Pelodiscus sinensis: one gene and its partner. The protein of the gene in region 1 interacts with the protein of each later gene in a pairwise test. Links are inferred from orthologs where the notes say so. Each region holds a gene or a part of one and is shown on either strand. Other genes may lie near its edges.

What was found.
Region 2: the proteins of ATOSB (region 1) and FHL5 interact in binary tests that used the Homo sapiens proteins (3 or more experiments, as listed by UniProt). The two-hybrid records come from large-scale screens. The link is inferred for Pelodiscus sinensis from reciprocal best matches to the Homo sapiens genes ATOSB and FHL5.

What each region holds. Positions count from the first base shown.
Region 1 is NC_134716.1:128,861,203-128,871,343, forward strand, and holds the start of ATOSB (atos homolog protein B), read right to left. Parts: upstream 5,567-10,141; 5' UTR 5,458-5,566; intron 4,297-5,457; 5' UTR 4,264-4,296; intron 1-4,263. UniProt on the Homo sapiens protein: Transcription regulator that may syncronize transcriptional and translational programs.
Region 2 is NC_134713.1:68,352,852-68,362,992, reverse strand, and holds the start of FHL5 (four and a half LIM domains protein 5), read right to left. Parts: upstream 5,231-10,141; 5' UTR 4,748-5,230; coding exon 4,662-4,747; intron 1,447-4,661; coding exon 1,407-1,446; intron 34-1,406; exon of another isoform or gene 1-33. UniProt on the Homo sapiens protein: May be involved in the regulation of spermatogenesis. Stimulates CREM transcriptional activity in a phosphorylation-independent manner.

The DNA.
Region 1 (10,141 bases):
AGTGGCTCCCTTTCCCCGCAAGCCTTGTGCCAGCAGAAGTCACTCGGTACCAGCCAAGCAGCAGATCTTGCAGGGAGACCACTTGAGAGACCCCAGGAGACAGGCGACAGCTGGGGAAGGAGGCAGCTGAACAGTGCTCCTGGAGGGCCCCCACCCAGCACACCGGGTCTCCCCTAAGCTCCAAGCTCAAGTCTGGGGGACGGAGCCTCTGTCCCTCCTTGGCCAAAAAGCTGAGGTCACAGGACTGGGGAAAGCATGGGGGGGATCCGATCCACACTGAACACCCACCCAAGCCATTCCCAGTGAAGCATGAGAACTGACCCCCAAGAGAGCAAGGGCTGGGATGCCCCACATGGGAGGTGAAGGAGCCTCAAACTCGTCTCCCTGCCTTGTCAGCAGCAAGGTTAGGGCCCCACAAGTCCCCGCTGCTACCACCACTCCTTCCCAACTGGCCACAAGAGAGGCAGAGCAGTCACCGTGTCCAGACAGTTCCTCTTCCCAAGCCGCCGGCAGAGCTGAGCACGAGTGCTGGGGGTAGGAGGGCTGCTCCGAGCGGTTTCCGTCACACGCAGGGTTTGCCGTGTGGTTCAGCAGCTCAGCACCCCCACCCCTGGAGCTGAGGGAGTCCTAGCTCACACAGCAGAGCCCAGAGCACATTGCGGACCACCAGCTGGGAAAGCCAGAGCGTCAATGCTGCTCTTCTTCCGCCTTTCCTGAGGGAAGTGCTCCAGTGACAGAGAAAAAGCCAACCCTCCCCAGAGGGGAAGGGAAACACGCTGAGTCACAGACGCTACTGAACTGCAGCGATGACGCTGCCCTGCACGTTCAAGGCACCTGGAGCCAAGGGACTCCAAAGTACAGGCTCTGGAGAGCAGCTAAGTCCCAGGCTGGGACTCCAAGGAGGTTTTCCCAACAGCCAGACCCAGACAGACAGCTCCCCCTTTCCTGCGCTCAGCCTAGCTTCCCAAACCTGTGTGCCGCACTCGGAGCCAGGGGAGTCCAGGCAGGAGAACTCACGGGATCCTAGCAAGAGCCCAGCAAGGAGCCAGCCAGGGAGCAGGAGGCAGCTCCTATAGCTGAGACCTTGGGGTGACTGGATGATGCCGACCATGGGCTACTGCCACAATATACAAGCTGTGGCTGTCACTTACGGCAAGGGGAGCGGCAGGGTCCAAGAGACTACAGATCCCAGCATGCACTGGGGGTAGACTAGACTGTTCAGAGGTTAAAGGGGAGCTCTGCAGGCTGGGACATGCAGTCTCCAGAGCTCTGTGGCTGTCATACAAGACAGGGGTTAGCACAGGGGTGAGCAAAAGGGCCTCCACAGGTTGGATCCAGCCAGCCACGCCAGTGGATCCAGCCCGCGGAGGCCCTGCCGCGCCCCCGCCCCCAGCCAATTAGGGCCTGACAGTGGGGGAGCGTGCAGAGCCTCCTCCTGCCCTGCCAGGAGCATGGGGCGCTTTGAAACACTGCACGCTGCTCACAGGGCTGAGGGGGAAGGGGGGCGAAGAGTGGAGGAGGTTTTGCCCACTCCCCTGCCAATCAAGGCCTGGGGGCGGGGGACCTGCTTGAAGCTTCCTTTGCCCCACCCTCTGATTGGCCTGAGGGTGGGGGAGCGTGCCAAGCCTCTTCCAGGGCATAGGCGCCTAGTGGGAAGGGGGGCAGAAGGGTTCCCCCACCCCCAGATCAATCATGGTCTGGGGATGGTATAGCCCCACCCCTCCTGTTTAGGCCCGCCCCCTTCCCATCTAGGCCCTGCCCCTTCCAGGGTGGCCAGGGGCTACTTTAAACATTTTTGAAGTGGCCCCGGGCCAAAAATTATTGCCTACCCCCAGGTTAGAATCACCCCTGCTTTATGGCTATTCCATGGATTGAAGCTCAACAGGGAAATAATGTTTAATGAGCAACACACAGAATCATAAAATACTGTAACCGGAGGAAGCCCAGTCTCCTGTCCTCACGGGCAGGACCAAGCACCATCTACATCATCCCTGTCAGGTGTCTCGAACCTGCTCTTCAATAGCTCCAGAGATGGAGATTCCACAACCTCCCTAGACAACTGACTCCAGTGCTTAACCCCCCTGACTGGCAGGAAGTTTTTCCTAATGCCCAACCTAAACCTCCCTGGCTGCAGTTTGAGCCCCTTGCTTCTTGTCCTGTCCTCAGAGGCCAAGAAGAACAATTTTTCTTCCCTCCTCTTTATAACACCCTTTCAGCAGTGTTCATGAACCTATCTTGTCCACTCTCAGTCTTCTCTTTTCCAGCCTAAACAAGCCCAGTTCTTTCAGCCTTCCCTCATAGCTCATGTTTCCTAGACCTTTACAGCATTTTTGTTGCTCTTCTCTGGCGCTTCTCCAACTTCTCCACATCTTTCTTGAAATGTGGTGCCCAGAACTGGATACAATACTCCAACTGAGGCCTAATCATGCAGAGTAGAGGGGAAAAATGACTGCTCGTGTCTTGCTCACAACTCCTGTTAAACCCAGAATCATATTTGCTATTTTTGCAACAGCGTCACACGCTTGACTCATATTTAGCTTGTGGTTCACTATGATCCCTAGATTCCTTTCTGCAGTGCTCCTTCCTAAACAAGGAATGGTCCTGTGATACATTAGAGACAAACTCAAATATATAGAATTGTGAGTTTTCAAGGGCAAAACTCACTTCATCTGATGATCCGGAGTGGCAGTAACAAACCATCCATCCCACTAGAGACATGGCACAAAGAACAGAACTCCATACCTACAGTTCCTGAAACACAGGCCTCGTGGGGAAAATGCAAGTCTTGAATAGTGGGCAACAGCTATTGTAAAATGTTTATTAACTGTTTTTTTAAAAGGCATTTAGGTGCCGAAAGGTCTTTTCAACCATACTCCTGGTGGTAACTTCCACTGATTTCTATAGGCAGTAGGTGCTAAGCAGGACTTCCAGAAGTGCCTGCCTTCCCCATTAGACACCTAAAGAGCTGTAAAGAATCTGGCCTACAGAACCTATGATTCGAAGTCACTGGGGCTGGGGAGGGGCAGGCATGCTATCAGGCACTCCACACGCACGCACACAGTAATTTACAAGGGTAAAAGTGCTGGCTTAATAGTCTAGGACTACATCCCCCTGTCTGCAGAGGGATATAAATGAAGCACTTCAAAAGTGCAAATGAAGCCGGGATTTAAATATCCCATGCTTCATTTGCATAATTACGTAATGGCGCTCTTTCAAAAAGCGCTCTTTTGAAATTGAGGTTTACAGGATCTTTTGAAAAAGCGCCCCATTTTTTAAAGAACCGCGTCTAGTCTGTAGCTTCACTTTCAAAATGGCACTTTTTCGAAAGAGCGCCATTACGTGATTATGCAAATGAAGCACAGGATATTTAAATCCCTGCTTCATTTCACTTTTGAAGCGCTTCACTTACATCCCTCTGCCAACAGCAGGATGTAGTCTAGACATAGCCTTGGAGACTGAAAGAGGAGACTCATCTACAAGGCACAGCCCAGACAGAAAAGCAGCAAGCTTCCCCACCCCCACAGTGTCCCCCCATTAAGACCTCAGCCCTCTGCCAAGACTTTCAGAAGGGACAGATTTGTTTGTCTTGGATCCAAACAGTCCTCAGAAGGTAGGATGATCACATATCCCAGTTTTATCTGGACTGTCTTGATTACTGAAATCTTTGTCTTATATAAGACTCTATTACTTCCCCACCCCAATTTTTCACACTTCGTCATCTTATCAGACAGTGGTGAGGAGTCCTGTGGCACCTTATAGACTAAATGAAGTGTTGGAGACATGCATCTGACAAAGTGGGTCTTTGCCCATGAAAGCTTAGGCTCCAACACTTCTATTATTAATGGAGACTGCCTATCTCCTAGAACTGGAAGGGACCTTGAATGATCATTGAGTCCAGTCCCCTGCCTTCTCAGCAGGACCAAGTACCACCCCTGACAAATTTTGCCCCAAATGGCCTCCTCAAGGATTGAACTCACAACCCTGGGTTTAGCAGGCCAATGCTCAAACCACTGAGCTATAAGGTGCCACGGGACTCCTTGCCGCTTTTGCAGATTCAGACTAACACGGCGACCCCTCTGATCCCTATCAGACAGTGACAGTCTTGACTCACGACCAAACTTGCGCCTGAGTGCAGGATCTCGGGGGAAAGGCCCATTCCCAATACCAGTGTGGAAGATCGCCTGCGCCGCCCGGGGGGGACAGGCCCCAGTGAGCTCGGCCTGGAAAGGGCAGGGCTCGTGGCAAGTCCAACCCAGATCTTACCTGCAGCCTCTGCTCACGGGACGACACAGGGACCTGCCGAAGGGAGGGAGACAAGAGTGGGCTGGATGGGCGCCTCAAGCCGCCTCCCCCCCCCCCCCGGAAATGGGTCGCGCCCCAGGGAGCCAGGATCCTGCACCCCCCGCCGGCAGCTTGCAGGGACCCCTCGCCCTCAGCCCACGTGGGGCCCCCCCAGAGCACCCCTCCTTCCCCCGCCCCCCTCCCGTGGGGCCCCCCCCAGAGCGCCCCTCCTTCCCCCGCCCCCCTCCCGTGGGGCCCCCCCCAGAGCGCCCCTCCTTCCCCCGCCCCCCTCCCGTGGGGCCCCCCCAGAGCACCCCTCCTTCCCCCACCCCCCTCCCGTGGGGCCCCCCCCAGAGCACCCCTCCTTCCCCCGCCTCCTCCCGTGGGGCCCCCCCCAGAGCACCCCTCCTTCCCCCGCCTCCTCCCGTGGGGCCCCCCCCAGAGCACCCCTCCTTCCCCCGCCTCCTCCCGTGGGGCCCCCCCAGAGCACCCCTCCTTCCCCCGCCCCCCTCCCGTGGGGCCCCCCCAGAGCACCCCTCCTTCCCCCGCCCCCTCCCGTGGGGCCCCCCAGAGCGCCCCTCCTTCCCCCGCCCCCCTCCCGTGGGGCCCCCCCCAGAGCGTCCCTCCTTCCCCCGCCCCCTCCCGTGGGGCCCCCCAGAGCGCCCCTCCTTCCCCCGCCCCCCTCCCGTGGGGCCCCCCAGAGCGCCCCTCCTTCCCCCGCCTCCTCCCGTGGGGCCCCCCAGAGCACCCCTCCTTCCCCCGCCCCCTCCCGTGGGGCCCCCCCCAGAGCGCCCCTCCTTCCCCCGCCTCCTCCCGTGGGGCCCCCCAGAGCGCCCCTCCTTTCCCCGCCCCCTCCCGTGGGGCCCCCCAGAGCGCCCCTCCTTCCCCCGCCTCCTCCCGTGGGGCCCCCCAGAGCACCCCTCCTTCCCCCGCCCCCTCCCGTGGGGCCCCCCAGAGCGCCCCTCCTTCCCCCGCCTCCTCCCGTGGGGCCCCCCAGAGCACCCCTCCTTTCCCCGCCCCCCTCCCGTGGGGCCCCCCAGAGCGTCCCTCCTTCCCCCGCCCCCTCCCGTGGGGCCCCCCCAGAGCGCCCCTCCTTCCCCCGCCCCCCTCCCGTGGGGCCCCCCAGAGCACCCCTCCTTCCCCCGCGGCTCCCCCGGCCCGGCTCCCGCCACCCACCGACTCCCAGCGCCGCCGAGAGCCTCCCGCAGCTGCTTCCGGGTCTAGCCTGAGACCCCGCCTCTGGGCCCCGCCCCCTCGCGCTGATTGGCGGTTGTGACGCGGCCAGGGCTGGGCCCGGAGACTTACCGGCGTCACAGCCAATAGCAAGGCGGGGGGCCGTGACGTGCGCCCCTAAGCCCCGCCCGCCGCCCGCCTCCTCCACGTGCGGTTCTGTGATGACAGCGGGGAAGGGGCGGGCCTTGGGGAGAGGCGGCTTCTCATTGGCGGGGGCCTAAGGGGCGGGTCCGCGAGCCAAGGAGTCGGGAGCGAGCCCCAACTTCGCCGTGTGACCCTTCACCCCTGACCTCTGCCCCGGCTGACCCTCCCCCGCCCCTCCCCCGGGCCGGCCGCGTTCGCTCCCGCCCCTGACACCCCCCCGCTCGGACTCACCCCCCCCGGCGAGGTTCACCCCCCCAGGGCTCTCTGCCCCCCATGGTGGGGTGACCCCCCCAGAGCTCTCTGCCCCCCCATGGTGGGGTGACCCCCCCAGGGCTCTCTGCCCCCCCATGGTGGGATGTACCCCCCCCAGGGCTCTCTGCCCCCCATGGTGGGGTGACCCCCCCAGAGCTCTCTGCCCCCCCATGGTGGGGTGACCCCCCCAGGGCTCTCTGCCCCCCCATGGTGGGATGTACCCCCCCCAGGGCTCTCTGCCCCCCATGGTGGGGTGACCCCCCCAGAGCTCTCTGCCCCCCATGGTGGGGTGACCCCCCCAGAGCTCTCTGCCCCCCCCATGGTGGGGTGACCCCCCCAGAGCTCTCTGCCCCCCCCATGGTGGGGTGACCCCCCCAGAGCTCTCTGCCCCCCATGGTGGGGTGAACCCCCCCAGAGCTCTCTGCCCCCCATGGTGGGGTGAACCCCCCCAGAGCCCTCTGCCCCCCCATGGTGGGGTGACTCCCCCAGAGCTCTCTGCCCCCCATGGTGGGGTGAACCCCCCCAGAGCCCTCTGCCCCCCCATGGTGGGATGTACCCCCCCAGAGCTCTCTGCCCCCCCCATGGTGGGATGTACCCCCCCAGAGCTCTCTGCCCCCCCATGGTGGGGTGACCCCCCCAGAGCTCTCTGCCCCCCATGGTGGGGTGAACCCCCCCAGGGCTCTCTGCCCCCCCATGGTGGGGTGAACCCCCCCAGAGCTCTCTGCCCCCCCCATGGTGGGGTGACCCCCCCAGGGCTCTCTGCCCCCCCCATGGTGGGATGACCCCCCCAGGGCTCTCTGCCCCCCATGGTGGGATGTACCCCCCCAGGGCTCTCTGCCCCCCCCATGGTGGGGTGACCCCCCCAGGGCTCTCTGCCCCCCATGGTGGGATGTACCCCCCCAGGGCTCTCTGCCCCCCCCATGGTGGGGTGAACCCCCCCAGAGCTCTCTGCCCCCCATGGTGGGGTGACTCCCCCAGAGCTCTCTGCCCCCCCCATGGTGGGGTGACCCCCCCAGAGCTCTCTGCCCCCCATGGTGGGGTGAACCCCCCAGAGCCCTCTGCCCCCCCATGGTGGGGTGACTCCCCCAGAGCTCTCTGCCCCCCATGGTGGGGTGAACCCCCCCAGAGCCCTCTGCCCCCCCATGGTGGGATGTACCCCCCCAGAGCTCTCTGCCCCCCCATGGTGGGGTGACCCCCCCAGAGCTCTCTGCCCCCCCCCATGGTGGGATGTACCCCCCCAGAGCTCTCTGCCCCCCCATGGTGGGGTGACCCCCCCAGAGCTCTCTGCCCCCCCATGGTGGGGTGAACCCCCGCCCCCCAGGGCTCTCTGCCCCCCCATGGTGGGGTGACCCCCCCGGGCTCTCTGCCCCCCCCCATGGTGGGGTGACCCCCCCCAGAGCTCTCTGCCCCCCCATGGTGGGGTGACCCCCCCAGGGCTCTCTGCCCCCCCATGGTGGGATGTACCCCCCCAGAGCTCTCTGCCCCCCCATGGTGGGGTGACCCCCCCAGAGCTCTCTGCCCCCCATGGTGGGGTGACCCCCCCCCAGAGCTCTCTGCCCCCCATGGTGGGGTGAACCCCCCCAGAGCCCTCTGCCCCCCCATGGTGGGGTGACTCCCCCAGGGCTCTCTGCCCCCCATGGTGGGGTGAACCCCCCCAGAGCCCTCTGCCCCCCCATGGTGGGGTGACCCCCCCAGGGCTCTCTGCCCCCCATGGTGGGGTGAACCCCCCCAGAGCTCTCTGCCCCCCCATGGTGGGGTGACCCCCCCCCCAGGGCTCTCTGCCCCCCCATGGTGGGGTGACCCCCCCCAGAGCTCTCTGCCCCCCCATGGTGGGGTGACCCCCCCAGAGCTCTCTGTCCCCCATGGTGGGGTGACCCCCCCCCCCAGAGCTCTCTGCCCCCCATGGTGGGGTGAACCCCCCCAGAGCCCTCTGCCCCCCCCATGGTGGGGTGACTCCCCCAGAGCTCTCTGCCCCCCATGGTGGGGTGAACCTCCCCAGAGCCCTCTGCCCCCCCATGGTGGGGTGACCCCCCCCAGGGCTCTCTGCCCCCCATGGTGGGGTGAACCCCCCCAGAGCTCTCTGCCCCCCCATGGTGGGGTGACCCCCCCAGGGCTCTCTGCCCCCCCATGGTGGGGTGACCCCCCCAGAGCTCTCTGCCCCCCCATGGTGGGGTGACCCCCCCAGGGCTCTCTGCCCCCCATGGTGGGATGTACCCCCCCAGAGCTCTCTGCCCCCCCATGGTGGGGTGACCCCCCCAGAGCTCTCTGCCCCCCCCATGGTGGGATGTACCCCCCCAGAGCTCTCTGCCCCCCATGGTGGGGTGAACCCCCCCAGAGCTCTCTGCCCCCCCATGGTGGGGTGACCCCCCCCAGAGCTCTCTGCCCCCCCATGGTGGGGTGAACCCCCGCCCCCCAGGGCTCTCTGCCTCCCCATGGTGGAGTGAACCCCCCCAGAGCTCTGTGCCCCCCCCCCATGGTGGGGTGAACCCCCGCCCCCCAGGGCTCTCTGCCCCCCATGGTGGGGTGACCCCCCCCAGAGCTCTCTGCCCCCCATGGTGGGGTGAACCCCCCCAGAGCCCTCTGCCCCCCCATGGTGGGGTGACTCCCCCAGAGCTCTCTGCCCCCCATGGTGGGGTGAACCCCCCCAGAGCCCTCTGCCCCCCCATGGTGGGGTGACCCCCCCAGGGCTCTCTGCCCCCCATGGTGGGGTGAACCCCCCCAGAGCTCTCTGCCCCCCCATGGTGGGGTGACCCCCCCAGGGCTCTCTGCCCCCCCATGGTGGGGTGACCCCCCCAGGGCTCTCTGCCCCCCATGGTGGGATGTACCCCCCCCAGAGCTCTCTGCCCCCCCATGGTGGGGTGACCCCCCCAGAGCTCTCTGCCCCCCCATGGTGGGGTGAACCCCCCCAGAGCTCTCTGCCCCCCCATGGTGGGGTGAACCCCCGCCCCCCAGGGCTCTCTGCCTCCCCATGGTGGAGTGAACCCCCCCAGAGCTCTCTGCCCCCCCCATGGTGGGGTGAACCCCCGCCCCCCAGGGCTCTCTGCCCCCCCATGGTGGGGTGAACCCCCCAGAGCTCTCTGCCCCCCCATGGTGGAGTGAACCCCCCCAGAGCTCTCTGCCTCCCCATGATGGGGTTCACCCCCCAGGGCTCTCTGCCCCCCCCATGGTGGGGTTCACCCCCCTCCCCCAGGGCTCTCTGCCCCCCATGGTGGGGTTCACCCCATCCTCCCAGGGCTCCCCCTCATCATTTCAGGGTTCACCCAGCCCATCACCAGAGAGCTGTCTACCCCTCGCAATAGATACTGGTTGACTGGCAGCTCCCTCCTGGCGAGGTTCAGCAGAGGGTCATTGGGGTGGTACGGTCCTGCCAGGTGTGTCTGCCAGGCTCTGAGGGAGTGGGGAGGAGGGCTCGCGGGAAGGCAGCAGCTGCACAGCTAAGGACAATTACTGGGCAGAAATATGCAGCAGGAAGCGCTTTCCTGGAGATGTGCTCTGCTTCAGGGCCTGGTCCAGACACCAGAGGAGAAACGGCTAACAAGGTCAGTGAGCTTGGAATCGGCCCTCGAAAACTAGCCTCACAACTGAGCCGCACGCTTCCTAGTGCTCTGGACGTAGACGGGGATTGTCAAGAGCCTGCAAATACAAGAATGTTTTCAGAATTGCTGCTGTCGAATTATAAATGCAAGCAACTAATACTGTCACCTGCATGTTCGTAGAGCGCTTGGGGAGCGGGAACCTTGATTCCTTCATCGGGGCTTCTGCAGTAGGAACAATAACTTCTGAGCTGTAACACTGCCCCTCTTCAGGAAAGATTTAGCTACCAAAATAGCAAAAATGCCATAAGAACCTTCTCAGGGGGCCAGAGGTGAGGATCCTGTGCTGTGGTGAAGTATGCATTTCCGTGTCCTGGATAACACATTCATGTTCACTGTGTGGGCAGTGTGAGTCGGGTGACAGCTGTAGGTATTAATTTCTGTGCTTCTAAACACTTGGGTTTCGTAATGATGTCACAGATGAGTAAGCTGTTGTCACTTAGCAACCTTAGCTGACTTTTAAAAAACAAGTCTTTTGGAATGAGGACAGGGTGAAGAGGGCTGTCTGGAAAAGCCCATTTTAATGGGATGGGTGCGACAGTTGAGTTCCATCTCCTGGCTTGGTTTCTAGGCTGCTCATTGTCTCTTCCCGAGCCCACTGCAATTAGCACTGTGTCCTGCCATCCTCGCTTCCCAGG
Region 2 (10,141 bases), on another chromosome or scaffold:
CAGCAGCAATTTCATGGATGACAATAGAATCATCTGTCATGTTAAGATAACATACAAATGATAAATTTCTGCTGCATTTAATCCCTGGGATAAAAGGAGACAGGAGAAGCAGCTTCTGATAACAGCAGTGTGCTTAGCAGTTATACAGTGTCTCCCACTAAGGGAACTCAGTGAACTTTGCAGTTGTTAATTAGCCATCATAATGTCCTTGTGAAATAGGGACCATCTTCATGTTTTCTTCAGAAAAGGAAACAAAACCCCTTATTTCACAGGTGAGACACAGAGACTTTAAGTGACTTTTCCAAGGACATAATGGAAGTCCTAAGGTCAGTCCTTTCACTTAGTCTGACTTCTGTATTAGGGAAACTCCAGTAAGGCCAGTGGGACAGCAATATAGCATGTGGGTGGATTGCAAATTCTTTGTCTGCCAAAGGCTTGCTGTTTGAGGCAGCAATGGCCCACATGCTCCTTCCAAATTATGCCAATGGCCTTAAACACAAGACCATATTTCAGTTCACAGTAGTCACTAAAATGCTGATGGATGGTTAACTGCAAAGGCTGCATGATGGGTAATTTTAAAAAGTATTGTTATCAGGAAGTAGGAATTTGTAAAGAAGGAGGCACAATAAAAAGTTCTAGACATCAACTTACGCACATTAGTTATGCATTTAGGGATGTAACTAAGGCTATACAATTCTCAGGAAAACTTGCCTGATTTTGGGTTAAGTAATAAAGTGGAAACATAGCCCATGCCGGCTGAAAGGTTTGCAAAGGATTGTGAATTTTTCCAATGAATTTGAGCTCATTTTCCAGCATGCCTGTGTTGGCATGATTTTGCATTGAAATCATATGAATTTTCCTATTCATGCCTAATATACCATAAACCTGTTGGGCTACGTCTAGACTGGCATGATTTTCCGGAAATTCTTTTAACGGAAAAGTTTTCCGTTAAAAGCATTTTCAGAAAAGAGCATCTAGATTGGCACGGATGCTTTTCCGCAAGAGCACTTTTTGCGGAAAAGCGTCCGTGGCCAATCTAGACGTGCTTTTTCACAAAAAAGCCCCAATTGCCATTTTCGCGATCGGGGCTTTTTTGTGCAAAACAAATTTCAGCTGTCTACACTGGCCCTTTTGCGCAAAAGTTTTGTGCAAAAGAGACTTTTGCCTGAACAGGAGCAGCATACTATTTCCGCGAAAAGCACTGATTTCTTACAGTAGGAAGTCAGTGCTTTTGCGTAAATTCAAGAGGCCAGTGTAGACAGCTGGCAAGTTTTTCTGGAAAAGCGGCTGATTTTCCAGAAAAACTGGCCAGTCTAGACACAGCCTTGGAGTGTGTTCCATTTTGACAAAAGTATTTTTGAACCCAAACTGTGAATCTCGCCTACATGCAATGTGAAGAGACTCACCCAATGGCATCCAGTTGTAAAATGTGAAAGCCTCGTAGTCCTAGATCATTAGAAATATTGGTTGTCCATATATAGATGGTGGGGAAAAGAGGAAAATGAACATTAATCATCTGAAAAAAAATCTGGAAGTTGTTCGTAGTCATAGAATGGCATGCAAAGTTCCAGCAAGGAGTTCTGTTTGTTTTTAACTACTGCTTCATGTTTCTCTCTCTATTGTGATTATATACCACCATTACGATGGTATCTCAGTATTTCAGAATTTATGACGAATTTATCCTCACAACACTCCTGAGTCATTATCCCCATTTTATAGATGGGGAACTGAGGCACAGAAAAGCTAACATGCCCAGAGGCACATAGGAAGTCTGTGATAGAATATGGCATTGAACCTGTCTCCAAAATCCAAAGCCATGGCCCTACCTTTGCCATGTCCTTTGTCTTAGTTTCATTCTCTGACAGAAAAAAAGGTCATAGGTATTGGGGGTGGGGGAAGAAAGGCACATTGTGCCACTACAGAAGTAGTCATGGAAGAGGGAACAAGATTGAAGGCTAGCACTGAGCCAAGGGAGCTTCCTCAGAAGCAAGGTCCCATACCTGATGGAACGAAGAGATCTTATTAATACTTTGATGAATGTAAAACAAATCAGATTTACCCAAAACAAATTAAAACAGTAAAAATGCAACCATCGGTGATGGTGAAGTACCCTCACGTTGTGAGAGTAAATAAAAAGTTACAAATACCATTTCAGTAGTAACTAGTAAGTTGTGTAAAGGGTTATAACCCCTTGGACAGCACTTATGTATTTCAGAAGCCCTATTAAAATTACCAGTTCTAGAATTTTAGCTGGGATGGTAACTAAGAAGGAACACTGAAATGATGAAGAATCCAACAAGGGAAAACTAAAAATCAGCACAACCTCAAGGGCAGAGGTTTGTGAAGGTGAGAGAGCAAGATGCAAATGGAAGGAAGCTTTTGAAGGAATAATATTAACCATAGTCAAAGAAAAGCTTTAGCTCAAAGAAAAGGAATCTGGAAACAATAAGGAGAATTGACCCACTACTTTTTTGGACCACGCTGTACTATTTCATAGAAGATTATATCCCTGCTATAGAATTCTAATGGATAGTTTATATAAGTATCCATTAAATTCTCTATATTTGTGGAATAACTTATATGCTGCCTTATTAAATTTCTGGTACGCTTTAATTAATGTTACCCCTCTCCAATTCTATACGAGTTTACAAGAAGGTAAAGTTTAAATATGTGGGCTGAGATTTGCAAAAGCCATCTAAACATTTTTGGATGCTTTCCAGTCCCTACTCCTACCCACCTCTCTCCCCTTCCCCTCCCCCCCAAAAAAATCTACTAGAGAAAGACAAGTAGAAAGTATGTTGCAATGCATCATTCCACTGTCTATGAACACAGCATTTGGAGCTTCACAGATCGCTAGACTGGAAGGGCTTTGATTCAGTGGGAGCACTACACAACCTGATCTCTCATCAAACCAGTCGGGAAATTTCTACACAAATTAAGGAGGATACTGTTCCTAAGGTTCTTGGCTCCTAACCAGGTGAAATCTGGCCATATTGAAGTCAAGGAAAGTTTTGCATTGATTTGAACAGATCTAGTATTTTACCCCTGGACTTCAGCTTTCCATTATTAGAAGAATTCTTCTGGAGAGTTTGCACTTTCCCCCTCTTTATATTCAATTAGTCAATGCTATTAGACTTCAACTTTTATGAGAAGTAAAATTCAACCATAAAAGTAAAATACAAAAAATTGAAAACACTGGCTTTATTAGCAAAAGAACAACTGTGATTAAAAGGACAACTAACTATGAACCTTACAATGTCTACCAATTAACCAATAAATAAAATCCTTAAACTTTTCTCCCTGCAAATAACCTTGAGACACCATAGGTCAAAACTGATCAGAGTCTTTTTCAAACAACTCGTTTTTTCATTATTATTTTTTTACTATTACAAGAAGATTGGTATAGCATCTTAAATTTCTGCAAATTATGCAATCTAAAATCAAAGTGCCTTTTGTGACAGTGCAATAAAATTACATGGCAAGACTGTCAGCAATGTGATAACATTAATACATAAATCTGTTCCATTCTGTTCTGTTAAAATACTTCAAGAAATGTCAACTAATCATACATACTGAAGACAAATGTGGGCATAAATGTTAGATGTGAACAAGACAAGCATCACAAAGTTATTTTCTTACTATAAGAGGTTCTATGTCAAGCTTTAGGCATGTAACTAATCTGCTGAAAATAAGAAAAAAGATACAAAATAGTGTATTTCAGAACAGGGATGTGATTACAATTTAAATTGTGTTTATCAAAGTTTGATTTTTGGGACTCATTAGTAAAAGAAAAATTGACTGAATGTACTTCATACATAAAACCAGATAGTACAACAATTAATCTATGTTGTTGACATTCTGTTACAGAAAATTTCAATGTCATTGTCCATAAAGCTTTTTAATGCAAACCGTGTAAATAGACATTTAAGTAGTGCTTTTTTTTTTAACTAAGCACTGGCACATCCTCTTAATATAGTACTTAGTACAGTAAATACAAAATCTGTAGCAGAGATCTTTTAAAAGCTGAGACTCCGACATAATAGTGGAGGAGAAAAAATGAAATAATGTTGATTGAGATTTATATCATGTGTAAACTTAGAAATCCAACAAGTTAATTTTACATTAAATAAGCAACAAGAACAATCCACTGTTTGCAGCAAAAATAACTTTAGGTATCTCATCATAAATGCCTCGTTGAAAGCTTTTGTTCTCAGTGGCAGGTAGGAAGAAAGTAGGCTAGTAGAAGAAAACAGAATTTACAGCATATTGGTTGATTCCTACTTATCTAATTTTTAAAAATTAATACATTGAAAACAGTTCATTGAAATCAGCAACAATCTTGTTTGAATATGTTCACAGAATTCTGTAGGCAATCCAAAGAAGATTCACCAAAGTATATGGCCTCAGCCAGTCTTAATGACAATGTTCTTTTTAGTCTATGTCACAAATTCCATCAATTATATAAACTAATTCTATTAAAACACTACTAGAAACAAACAAACAAAAATCAGAATTAATCAGTGACCGAAAAGAAAAAGTTCTTGCTTAATTCACAAACTTTCAATTGATTACCAGGTCAACTGACCTAAATATTTTAAAACGTATCAACTAAAAGAGCGGAAAGAGAAATAATAAGGAAAAGCAGTTTCTATAATACTCACAACTGGTTCAAGCTGCTTCTTCTTCTGACTTGTGTAGCAAAATAAAGGGGGAAAATAATTAGATTAGCTTTCACAGAAATAAGCATTCATCAAGTCCAAAAGAAACAGAATACTCTGCCAGAGCTATTTGAGGGTCCTATCAAATTTTGGCTGTGTAGAAGACGGCTGAGGGACAGTTTATTTCCCTTAGACCTCATGACATGCAAATAGCTGGTTCCCTTGTCACTGGATTGAAATCATTCTTTGTCATATTGTGTTTACAGATGGTAGACAAAAACAGACCACAGAGGAGATCCTTAAAAGAGCATTTTTCAAGGACAATGTTTCAAAGACCTAGAAAGAGGCGCTTTAGTAAAAAAATCTATAGTGGAAGGCGGGGAAGGGAATGAACATATTAATCTCCAGCTTTTTTGTGCACAGATTCTTTGAAAACATTCAAGATACTCGATAAAACTCAAAATTAACATTAAAACTCCTGCTTACAGTTTTTGGGGTACAGGCAGTCCCCGACTTACGCGGATCTGACTTACGTCGGATCCGCACTTACAAACAGGGCTTTCTCGCCCCGGAGGTCGGGGCGAGAAAGCCCCGTTCGTAAGCTGCTCCGGTGCCCCTGGTCTGCTGGAGACCGTCTCCAGCAGACCAGGGGCACCGGGCGGGTTCCCGCGCTTCTGAGGCTTTGCCAGAGCAAAGCCTCAGAGGCGCGGGGAACCGCCGCTGCTGCCGCTTCAGTCTGGGTGCCTGTGGTCTGCTGGGGACCATCCCCAGCAGACCACAGGCACCCAGACTGAAGCGGCAGCAGCGGCGGTTCCCCGCGCCTCTGAGGCTTTACTCTGGCAAAGCCTCAGAAGCGCGGGACCCCCCCGCGGCTGCGGCTTCAGTCCGGGAGCCTGTGGTCTGCTGGGGACCGTCCCCAGCAGACCACAGGCACCGGGACTGAAGTCGTAGCCGCGGCGGGGTCCCTCGCCTCTGAGGCTTTGCGAGAGCCGCTGCCGCTGCGGCTCTGCTCCCTGTGTCCCTGGTCTGCTGGGGGGGGGGGAGGGGCGCAGCTAGTGTGCTTCCCCCCCCTCCCAGCAGACCAGGCTTTTGTTTTGGACTCTGGGGCAGAGCAGCTGGGGCGCTGCCAATTGGTCCTGCAGCGCCCGCTCTGGGCACTACTGGACCAACCCGGCAGCACCCCAGCTGATCTGCCCCAGGCGTCCCCAAGTCAGCTTCTGCTGAAACTGACCAGCGCTGACTACAGGAAGCCCCAGGCAGAGTTGCTCTGCCCCGGGCTTCCTGGAATCAGCTGCTGATCAGTTTCAGCAGCAGCTGACTTGGGGACGCCTGGGGTTCTTAAGTTGATTCTGTATGCAAGTCAGAACTGGCGGTCAGTTTCAGCAGTGTCTGAATCTGGACGCCAGTTCCGACTTACATACAGATTCTACTTAAGAACAAACCTACAGTCCCTATCTTGTACGTAACCCGGGGACTGCCTGTATTCTGCATAGGTTTTGTGGGTAGGGGTGGAAGGGAGACATTAAAATACCACACCCTTCCAATTTAGGAAAGGGCTATGGGATTTAATATTACATCACAGCTTCCTGCTAGTTATTTATACAGTGGGATGGTTGATGCCTTCAATGCAGTTTTCTGGTGATTAGATTCATATCAGTGGAAAGTGAATGGCTTTTCTCTGGACCTCTCTTAATGCTCATCTCAGGGCTGGCCGCATTAGACTTGGAGCAGAGGTAACCACACCAGTGTTTGGGCTAAGGTTACACTATCCACCACTCCCACTACAGAACAGTTCATTCACTGCACTGTTGTACCAGCCTTCAGTGAATTTTTTATATCCAGTTAAAATTAAGCAGCTGAAATTAAGCAGCTTAAAACAGGATTGTTGGTTGTGGCTTGAGACATTGCAGACCCTAGACCATGCTTTCCACCATTATATTCCCTAGATTACACTATGATGAACCAATTTATCTCTGGGCTTAATCAAGCCTTGCATGTCAAGTGTACAGAAGAGCTGTTTATTATTATGTCATTGCCAAGAAATAGAATTCTGTTTCTCTCTTTCGATAAATCTTACATTGAAAGATTTTGGTAAAATTTGCAAATACCAGGAAATAAAGTTTCTAGGTGGTAGATCTTCAATAGGACCCTGGGCCGTGAGTGACTGTACAAGGCTGTCTACTGACAGGATGCTTGGATGTAACTTGACTCAAAGTAGTGGCCTGGTTAAAGCCCATACCACATGAACTAGCCTTCTTCGTGATAAGCACACCAAATTACACAAATAGTATGTTCTTTTCAGGAAAGAGTATGAAATATATGTTCATTTTCCATTGAACATCGCATTTTCCAAACTTCAATTCATGTTTTTTTTCTTCTCAGAAGAAACTTGCAGAATGGAGACTATACCTGTATAACTTACTAGAGAGTTGTCTTTTTAAGCATTTAAAGCAAAGTGAAAACCTTCACAAATAAGGAGCATGAAGTGAAATTAATTAGTGGATAATGTGAAAACTAAGTGCCCTTTTCTCTAAACCCAAACGAGGTGCTATAACACATAGCCCTTCTTAATAAACTATTTGACCAACCTGGTAACAAAACCACCCTGATTTGACCTAAACTTCCACTTCTACCCTCACTGATATTAGCATGGTATTTGCCATTAACATGAGCCTCTCAAAGAGCTCTTTCCCCTTTATTTTTGTTTAAGATTCACTCAAATGTATCTTTCTAAGCAAGGTTTCTATCTCTGACAATTCAGAAAAATAATTTAAAATCCATTTCACTACTACATTGATCTTCAACCTATTTTAATGTATTCTTATACTTTAAAAAATGAGTAGCTATTTAAAATATCAGAAAGCATTCTGATCCCACAATAAAGCATTTCAATAATCCAGAAGCTTCAGATGATCATTACTTTTATGTTCCAATTATAACCATGCTCTCCATCACAGTAGTAAATGTCTCTCAAAAAGGCTACAAAAGTCTTAAGGTAAAAAACATGAAGCCATTTAAATCATTAATCGAAAGGTATACAGAAAGCTTTAGCAGAAGTTCTAAATATCAGAAACTCAGGACAAGCTCTGTTAGATTACATCAGCAATCTTTGACTGCTCTCATGCAAGTCATTTAATTTTGAGTACAATTACAACAGTTTTTAAATGTCATCACTTCTTGAAGTTTAATCTCAAGAGTTTCTCAGATTAATTACTCCTCTCCCCCGTTTTTCAAGTGTCTTTGGAAGAGACTTCATACAAGAAATTTTATGAAGCATGTATTTTTAGTGAGTGGAACAAGGGGGCAATTTGTCCATGATATTGCTCTTTTTAAAAATGTAATTTAAATTAAGCTACACTGTAAATTTATCTGAAAAAGAAATAGGCAGCTTTGTCAACTAAACAGCTGATAATTAAAATAAGAATCCTAAGAATAGTAATGAATCCTTTCCTTTTTTTTCCAGTCGCTACGTGAATCATATACAGGAAAAAAATCATTAGCACAGTGTTTGGGGGAAAATATTTTATTTATTCCTCTCTCTTGTAATTAAAGACACCTTTATCTAGGAATGTTAACCTCTACACTTGATAGACAGATATTCAATACTTATTTTTTCTGGCATGGAAACACCAATGAAGGTTTCTCATAATTAACCACTGAAAATTCTATGAAGAGACCACTACCGAAACATTAGTACTTCTTTCCTATCCATTTTAAAGAATGTTCTTTTTATTATTCTCATCATGTGGCCTATATTTGTAACAAAAATCTGTTGCATTACATAGAAGACTTGTATTAATTCATTATTATGTATTACAACAGTTTTAAGCAAAAAAGAGGACACAAAATTGGCAAGTATAACAAATTAAATGGAGCACATTAACAACTGTAGTTTGCAAGCAACAAGTGCAAGTCCAATCGACATATCTATGGTTAAGTCAACAGCAGAAACTATTTTAACCACTTAAATCATTAATTTTATTAAAATAATTATATTTACATAAAGAATATCAAATTGTAGAGTATTATTTACAAAATCAATGCCATATAAAAGTGTGTACATTTAATATAGGAAAATTATAACTATTTTCATTCAATAACAAGAGAATAAATATACTTATTTTATGCAAACCATTTTTGTAAACAAAGTGAAAGCAGTCAGAATATTTTCTTTTTTGCTATTTCCAGGTGACAGGCTTATATGGAGGCTTCCAACTAGGATGATGGACAAAACTGTCTCTGCCTCTAAATCCAAAGGGCAGAGATGGAGTTGCTCCTTTGTATTACAGTTTGGACAGAACCAATGCTATTTTGTAGAGATATTATTGACTTTAGTACAGTAATCTAGTAATTTTTTATAAGCGATTCTGTTTTTTTAAACTGCATTCTAAAATAAGCCTAAATGCAGGAACACAAAAGTCTCAAGTCACCTTTCTTTTGTTGCAATCAAAGTTTTGGGGACATTTTTGGTTGATTTCTACCCAATGCACAATTCTGCACACATCTTGCAGGAATTTAACAACCACTGCAACTTAACAGCATTCTTACAGAAGGTTTTGTTCAGTGCTAATAGAGTTTGGGCAAGAATGAAAGAATACTTAGAACTACTGTACTATTATTTTCACTGGATATCAATGTCTATTGCCTTACTATTAAGACCTGATTTTATGCAAGCAGCTAGGTAACAAGTATAATCACTGCATATTCCAGTGATAAGTTGAAACTGATTTGCTAAATTAAAACTGCACTAACTTCAAAACAAATTCAAAAATATACAACTGACATACACAAATTATATACTTAACTAATATTGGCAAGATTTTAGTTGGTATTCTTTACATATATTTTTTCTAAGACACACAATATACCCCATGTACAAATGAGGATACAAATTACAATGGGCATGACAAAAATATAGCTAAATAATATCAAATACCACTTGGAATAGGTTAACATCAGAAAAAAACACTATAGCAGATACTCAAAATGGTTACTATTTTCAGAATATTTTTAAAAAAACATATGGTAAAGTGAACAAAGTTCTGGACCAAACTCCCTCGAATAAAAACAGTATTTGTAATGGATATTGATATACCCCTTGTATCCATATCAGTGGATACGGATATGGATACACCCCTTAAGAAACTTCTCTAGGAGTCACATCTGAAACTGTGTGGTAGCAAATGTTTCCTAAACAATCTAACTTGTACATTAACTACAGAAGTCATTCCCCATTTCTCCTCCTCAAAAAAATCCCTATAAACCCAATACAGATCACGTGCATACCTTAACAGTTTTATTGCAAATCATTAGAAAATGAAATGAAAAATAATAGTGTGCGCAGAATTCACTGGAGTTTGTTGAAAAAAGAAATCCATCCTTAATCACTATTACCTCTCTGGTTAAAAGCTTTACTCTAACCAATCAGATATTTTGACTATGTTATGCGGGTGTGCTTGACCACTTTATATTTTGCCTTTGTA